Linked DNA regions of Arabidopsis thaliana. The protein of the gene in region 2 interacts with the protein of the main gene of each other region in a pairwise test. Each region holds a gene or a part of one and is shown on either strand. Other genes may lie near its edges.

The links.
Region 1: the proteins of RCAR3 (region 2) and AT5G51910 interact in binary tests that used the Arabidopsis thaliana proteins (3 or more experiments, as listed by UniProt).

The regions. Positions count from the first base shown.
Region 1 is NC_003076.8:21,094,021-21,097,621, reverse strand, and holds AT5G51910 (TCP family transcription factor), read left to right. Parts: upstream 1-1,730; 5' UTR 1,731-1,813; intron 1,814-1,919; exon of another isoform or gene 1,920-2,014; 5' UTR 2,015-2,036; coding exon 2,037-2,918; 3' UTR 2,919-3,056; downstream 3,057-3,601. Other genes in the region: AT5G51920 (Pyridoxal phosphate (PLP)-dependent transferases superfamily protein), read left to right, coding at 1-420; AT5G51900 (Cytochrome P450 family protein), read left to right, coding at 3,168-3,601.
Region 2 is NC_003076.8:21,558,700-21,563,256, reverse strand, and holds RCAR3 (regulatory components of ABA receptor 3), read right to left. Parts: upstream 2,657-4,557; 5' UTR 2,232-2,656; coding exon 2,094-2,231; intron 1,813-2,093; coding exon 1,597-1,812; coding exon of another isoform or gene 1,517-1,596; coding exon 1,304-1,516; 3' UTR 548-1,303; downstream 1-547. Other genes in the region: FTSH11 (FTSH protease 11), read left to right, coding at 85-234. UniProt on the Arabidopsis thaliana protein: Receptor for abscisic acid (ABA) required for ABA-mediated responses such as stomatal closure and germination inhibition.

The sequences.
Region 1 (3,601 bases), 460 kb from region 2:
AAACATTCAACAACTAGTCGTCTAGTTAAAATCTACGGTCCGAAAGTTAATTTCAATCGAGGACCAGCGGTTGCGTTCAATCTATTCAACCATAAAGGCGAAAAAATCGAACCTTTTATCGTGCAGAAGTTAGCCGAATGCAGCAACATCTCACTCGGTAAAAGTTTCTTGAAGAACATCTTGTTCCAAGAAGACTACGAAGGCGTGAAAGATAGAGTTTTTGAGAAGAAAAGAAACAGAGACGTCGACGAACCAAGGATCTCTGTTCTCACTGCTGCGTTAGGGTTTCTTGCTAATTTCGAAGATGTTTATAAACTTTGGATATTCGTTGCTCGGTTTTTGGATTCAGAGTTTGTTGATAAAGAGAGTGTGAGATGTGGAGTTCATGTTTTTGAACATAAGAACCGTGAAGTAGTCTAGTTAACATATAGCCTAGTTTTGGCTCGGTTTGCTTTGGTTCACTTCTTACATCAGAACCGGTTCAAGTATCAATGAAAATTTTGATTTTTGTTCAGTACAAAGTCAGCGTCAACATTAGCGTCCAAGTAGCACCTCTATCTCCCACTAATTTTGATTTTGCTACTGATTCAAAAAAAAATAATTAACTTTCGAAAAAAGGTAGCTCATATATATTTATTTACAATTCGCTCATTCCTAGATGTCAAGTAGATATGAACGGGGCAAATGAATGCCCAATAACTAAAATAAACCCATATCAGCTATATATTTCTTCGGTTGTTAAAAATTTTGATTTTATAAAATTTATTGCACAAATGATTTTCTAGATGTTATTTTTATTTTTATTTTTAGTATGATAAATACTAAATTTCAAAATGCAATGATTGAAAATAATTAAACTTTTAATTTTATTAGCTCATAATTAAACTTAAAAATATTTAATATAAAAAATGTTAATGATTAGATAATGTTTTTTTTTTAATATGTGAAAAAATCCCAAACATCAATCTATTATAAAAATATGGAATAATACTTTTATTTAATCTATTTTTTTAGTAGTCAACATCAAAAGATTATTACAAATGACCAATGTTGATAATTTTAACTTATAAATATAGTATTAAATAATGAATAGTGAATTGTTTTCTTTTTGGCGGGTGAAACCTTATTTCCAAGCTTCATACTCTAGTCTTCGAGAGTCATGCTTAGTAATTGACATTTTTTGTTGCCATCATTTCTTATAAAGCTTACCCTAAGCTTGCAAGAATATTTACCGAGTAGTTTGGAATCTTGGTGTTGTAAATCATGCACTATTTGTTTTACTACGCAGTTCCAATCTTCTCGTGGGGACCAAAGTTTTTCAACCTTGTATACAACAAAATCAACAAGGGATTAGGTACACCAAATTGGTTTTTACGAAAACAGTAACATGCTATCAAAATAGAGACTAGTCGTTTTGGTGATAGAATTCAGACCAAGACAATAATGGTTTTACTTGTCAATAATACTCAGAAATGAACATAAGCTGCACTTGTCAATAGTACTCAGTTTTGAGATAGCTAAGTTTTGTATTGCCCTAGTTATGGCTCGGTTTTGTCCAATTCGGTTGGTTTGGTTCACTTCTTAAATGGAAACCGGTTCAACTGTACAACTATCAATAAAAAAAAAAAAATTAGCTCCACAACATGACTCTTGTGATGTGGTCGAGGCCAAGGCCCATTAGTTAGCTAAAACAGGCCCATATGAAGTATGTGATCTAGACCGTTGATTTGTAATGGGACTATATAAAAATAAAAACGATGATCTTGAGGGCCCCTTCTTCCATCTTTGTAGGGTTCTTCGTGCAGAGGATAAGGTTAGCTGTGGTTTTTTAATTTTATTTTTCTACCTTTGTAGGGTTTCCTCACTTTTTTTTATCCACTGTTCTTTAGTTTTCAATCTGTCAAATTCAAACAGATAACATTTTTCGTCAAAAGAATCAGTAAAAACTAAACATTTTGACTATATCCTACTTGAATCAATTCTTCGGCTGATTTTGAAGTTTTGTGACATTCAGATATTCTAGGGTTTTGTGGTAAATGGAATCGAATCACGAAGGCAACGCGATACAAGTGATTGACCAAGTAACAACCATGACCCATCTGTCTGACCCGAATCCGAAAACCAAACCGGGTATGATGCTCATGAAACAAGAAGACGGGTATTTGCAGCCGGTGAAGACTAAACCGGCTCCGAAGAGACCGACTTCTAAAGACCGTCACACGAAAGTAGAAGGACGAGGTCGGAGGATCCGAATGCCGGCGGGTTGCGCTGCTCGGGTCTTTCAATTGACCCGTGAACTTGGTCACAAATCCGACGGAGAAACGATACGGTGGTTATTGGAACGAGCTGAACCGGCGATAATTGAAGCAACCGGAACCGGAACTGTACCGGCTATTGCTGTATCGGTTAACGGAACTTTAAAAATCCCGACGAGCTCTCCAGTGTTGAATGACGGCGGCCGTGACGGTGACGGTGACCTAATAAAGAAACGGAGGAAGAGAAACTGTACGAGCGATTTCGTAGACGTTAATGACAGCTGTCATAGCTCCGTTACTTCTGGGTTAGCTCCGATAACGGCGTCAAACTACGGCGTTAATATCCTGAACGTTAATACACAGGGGTTTGTGCCGTTTTGGCCTATGGGTATGGGTACTGCGTTTGTTACTGGTGGGCCGGATCAAATGGGCCAAATGTGGGCTATTCCTACCGTTGCTACAGCTCCGTTTCTGAATGTTGGTGCTAGACCGGTGTCTAGTTATGTCTCAAACGCTTCAGACGCTGAGGCGGAGATGGAAACGAGCGGTGGCGGAACGACGCAACCGCTGAGGGATTTTTCGTTGGAGATTTATGATAAGAGAGAGCTTCAGTTTTTGGGTGGCTCAGGGAACTCATCTCCGTCTTCATGTCATGAGACTTAAGGAATTTTAACTCTTAGTTCTAGTTTCTTTTTAGTTTTTAGTAAGTTTGATTCCTGATTTAGGTTAAGTAAGATTTGTAAAAGAATTGGGAGCACAATTTCAATTTTATGTTTCTGTCAAACATTTTGGTAATTAATGGAACTATCCTATCATTTTTAAAAAATAAATCAAAATGAGATTAAAAATGAGTCTGCTAAAACGCCAGAGGTTGAGTCTGCTAAAGCTCTCGACACAATAGTAGAAGGAATAATGTATAGGCACGTTAAACCTAGATTCTCGTGGAAGCTACAAAGCTGGATCGGAGTTGGGATGGAGAAGAAGATGATAGAAGCTGGTGCCATTTTTGATCGAGTGTGTGGGAAATACATATCAGCCAGGAGAGAAGAGGTAAAAAGATCACAAGTGAATAATAATGATCATTTCATTAGAGATAGTCATGCAAATCTTTTGACATCTCACATAAAGCTTGATACAACCCAGTACCAGCTCTTGGATCCTATCAATGATAAATTCTTAAGAGACAATGTCTTTGCTTTACTTCTAGCTGGGAGAGATACCACTGCCTCTGCTCTCACTTGGTTCTTTTGGTTTTTGTCCGAAAACCCTCTAGTGGTGACCAAGATTCGCCAAGAGATTGACATGAATCTACCAAGAAGTTGTAGTGGCCAAGAGAGACCATCTTG
Region 2 (4,557 bases):
GCATTTTTTACTGGATCAAAATTGTTTAATCTCACTTCGATTTTGTGTGTGTGTGTGTGTGTGTGTGTGTGTGTGTTTCCCCAGCATGAGAAGCAGCTACACACGTTAGCAAACGCACTTCTAGAGTATGAAACGCTAACCGCAGAGGACATAAAGCGTATTCTCCTTCCAAAGCAGGAAGGCGAGAAATTTGAAGAGCAACAACAAGAAGAAGGAGACTTGGTATTGGCCTAATCACATCATTCATTACCATAAACACACTTCTTTGGGTGAAAAAGGGAGATTCAAAGCTTTGTACAGAGTAAATCTCCCATAGCTTCTACAACAACAACCAAAAGAAAAACATATGAAATTATTGATCTCATGTTACAAAATTATTGTAGTTTTTATTTCATTAGCTCATTAGTTTTCGCTTCGACCTTGAACCTTTTGCCCTTTTTGACATTCTGTTCAATTCTATGAAGAAAAATGTAAAACAACATTGAAAAGAAAGTAATAATTGTTGTCTTTATTCTCTGATGTGATTTTGAAAGCCAATGAATCTTATTGCAGCTTACAAGGTCCTCTGATGAAATTACATGTATTGTTTGGAACAAAATTGAAAGAAAACATATAGAAGCAATTCTAATGATACCACCTGTCAATGTGACCGATTCGAATATTTATCCACTACTGTAATTTAGGAAAAAAGAAACAGAAACACTTTGGCATTGTAAAAATAGTATACAAAACTTTTTACAGCTAATGGAGCTAAAGTGTGTTTCCCCAATCACAAGTCAAGACAAAATCTATAAACAACAACAAAGATCTCTTTCCTTAATGGTCCTTTGTGGAGATTTTTCACATCTCACAAACCCTATTGGTTCATCTTTAAAAGTAGAAAAAATAAATATAAGAAAGACGGTGTGTGGCCTTTATGGGTGCAACTAAAAGTGTTAAAAAAGGAAGAAGAGAGTGGAACCCCATGATCACACACACTTTTAACATGTCTTCTCTGCAAATTGTAAAAAGATTCCTGCAAGTTGCTAAAGCTAAACTCCAAAATCATATTTTGGTTCTATAGAGAAGAAACCAAAAACACATTCATTAAATTAGACACATGAAATTAAAAAGAGGGTTTGAAAGTGAAATGACCCCAAAAATAGCAAATGAGAAACTTATTATGTAACTGGATAAATGATGATACTTTTTTTGCCTTGTCCATCCTCAAAGAAACTCACCCACTCTCTCTTTTTCCCTTTGAGAGCTTCATCCATGGCAACCAAAATCTCTCTGATTCAATAGTTTCTTACTCCTTTGATCTTTAGACTCTCGATTCTGTCGTGTCTTGAACCGCAAGACGTTCAGAGATATCAGCTAAAGATTTAAGATTGCATTTGATTAAAGCTTCAACAAAGTAACAAGTCTCATCCTTTGTGTTTCCTTCTGGTACATCAACCACAAATGACTCAATCACAAGTGTTCCTATTCTTCCTTCTATAGTCTCGGGGTGAAGAGAGATGATTGAAGAATAGTTCTAAATCCAAAAACAATATAGAACATATAAGTCTTTGATTCACTGTAAACAGAAAACGAACCTTTTGATTCATTGATTACCTTAAGTCTATGATCACCACCAACGATTCTGATACTGAGAATATGCTCATTGTCATCAAGTAACTCCAATCTCTCAGTGCTTCTAGTTGCTGGTAGTCCAGATTTCACATCAACTTCTCTTACTGTACCAATCTCCATGTTTCCTTTCACCACACATCTACTGATAAACGGCTTATACTTCTGTGGCTGATCAAATCTTCTCACAAGTGACCACACCTATTCACCAGAGAGATTCAAACTAATCCATAAGCGTTTTTGGGAGCTTTTTTTTCCAATAAAGCAAAACCAGATCAAACAAACTCAGATTGGGATTACACAAATGCTATGTAAGCTTTCAATAATTAGAAACCAATCGATTCTTCATCAGTAAGATCAACAATCGATGAAAATAGAGAGAGATTTCAAATTCTGGATTGAATCAACAATAAGAAGAACCGATTAACTTAAACAGAGAAAATCAGAGCGCATGAAGGAAGAAGAAGAAGGGAGAAGCTTACAATATGAACAGGAGCGTTGATATGTTTAACAAGCGTAGAGCTACACTGATTATCCACAAGCTCATGCTTATGATGTCTCCTTATAAACTCTCTTTCCTGATTCGGATTCGTCAAGTTCTCAATCCCGTTAGCTTCCATCTTCTTCCTCCGTCTTAAGCCACGGTTTCTCAATACCTCCGCGTCGGATACGACAAACAAACAAAAAACAAGGCCAAATTCGTCGCGCAGAAGAGAGTGAAAAGCAGCACAACAAAGGAAAAGATAAGATTGAGCTGAGAATCGTAAGAGATCTGATCTCAGAGAGAAGTTTTTTTCCGGCGAGATCTTCCGATGAAAGCGTTACTGTGAAGAAATGATAGATTATACAGTCGCCGTCTTTGGAGGGAGATAAGAAGAAGATGAGAGAAAGAGAAAGAGAGAGAGAGAGAGACGAATCCTCCAACAAACTTTTTTTCTCTCTCCTTTTTATAATATTTAAATAAAAAGACTCAGTGAGAGATTTTTATAAAAAAAAAGAAAAAGATTGATTGGATGGTATTGGACTAAAGGAGTAAAGGTCTTTCTCTGATTTCACTACTCTCATTGGATGCTTTCTTCTATTATCCCACTATTTTCTCTTTATTTTCGATTTTGCCCCTCGTTGTCGTTTTTCTGTGTTTTATTTACCGTTTTTAGTTTTACCCCTCAAGTGTGGTAATTATTTAATGTTGATCCTTAAAGTATTGTTTAAGCCTATGAGAGCTGACTCAATTATTGGATAGTTTTTTTTTTTTTTTTCTTGGGTGCTTTTTCATTTGGATAAAAGACTTGTTTTGACAAAAAAAAAAAAGGATTAAAGATTTTGAAATGGTTATAGATTTTTTGAAATTGTTTATGGCTTAAGTTTTTTCCAAAAATCTACTTTATAGCCAATTAAGATTGGGAGAAATGGTTTTCCTTATAAAAATAAGGAATCTAGATTTTTAAAGGAAATCTAAAATCTATGTTTCATTGGTTTTTCACTTTTTAACGCTATAACTTTTTCATATTTAGTTTCAAATATATATATATATATATATATATATATATATATATATATATATATATATAATTAATGCAAAAATCTAAAAACTATAAACCAAATCCAAAAACCACTTAATAACTTGCAAACTGTTTTCTTTTGTTAATGTGTACTTATATTTTAGGTTTTCTTGTTATTGGGATTATAGTATTAGTGGTGTACTGTAAAATGTTTGTGTATGTGTGTGTATATAGTAGAATGAATTCGATCAGATCAGCATATAGTTCGTGTACTTGACTGTGATCAGACTCAAAGAACAATTCAAATTGTCGAAAATATACTAATTTAAATTGATGAAAATACTACAAAATTTCAGAGAGATTGTTATAATGCAAACCAAACATAGGGCTTAACCAGATTATGCTCGTTAACCTTTAGCTGAAGAAGAGATAGTACACATATTATACGGATGGTCACATTACTAGGTGCATGGAGGTATATTGATGTCCCAATTAGACATATAATCACTAGTTAAAAGTGTGCTTAACACCCCCGAGCCAGACCATGATCAATGCAGATTCGGGGCCTTTGAAGCAAACTACAAAGGACCAAATCTTTTTTTAGGATTAGAACGACAAATCAGGTACTAAGTACAAATTACAAGAACTTCTTTAGGTATATGATAAAAATAGTAAACATCTATTATTCCAAGTATTAAAAATAGCTAAAATTTAATGATTATACATGCACTGCAGTTATTATGGTTATCATCCAAATTTTATTCTAACCATTTAACATCGATTGTTTCGTACGTTTTGTCAGTTCCATACCAATGATTTGTATTATGTTCTCTTTGTTTCGTCTAATCCGGTTTTCTGCATCATCACCAATTCCAGTATTCACTCTCATTCGACTCATAATATGAAGTAAAAGTTCGTAAACTATTAAGTTGGACTTCGCTTTATTTTTTCGCATTCTGACAATAGTATCTTGTTTTGATCATTTACAGTATAATATTAGTATCTTATAACCACTAAGGCCAGAATAGTAAGTATATAGTTTGATCATTTAATTTACACAATCCTTTATCCAAAAAATATATTGTATACAGTATCATATATAGGGTTTGCTTCACAGTCTTAACTTTTCCTGACTCGAAGAGCCAATCTCGAGAGAGCAAAAGGTCCCACGTGCTTTATCCAACACTCTTTATTAAATCCTGAATAAAAGTATCTCAAAGTGACAAAGATTTCTATAACATAAAAAGGTTTGGCTCTTATAAGTCATATCTAGAAAAAGAAAATTCGTTGCTAACTTTGTAACGTGCTAAAGTATTCTCGAAAATACTACTACCTCAAGATTAAAGTACACAAAAAAAAAAAATTGGATACCCATAGTTTCTTTTTAAGATTGGGCTTGGAGCTTGCAGGTGGGCTCTCAGGAATGTATATCGGAGATTTTGAG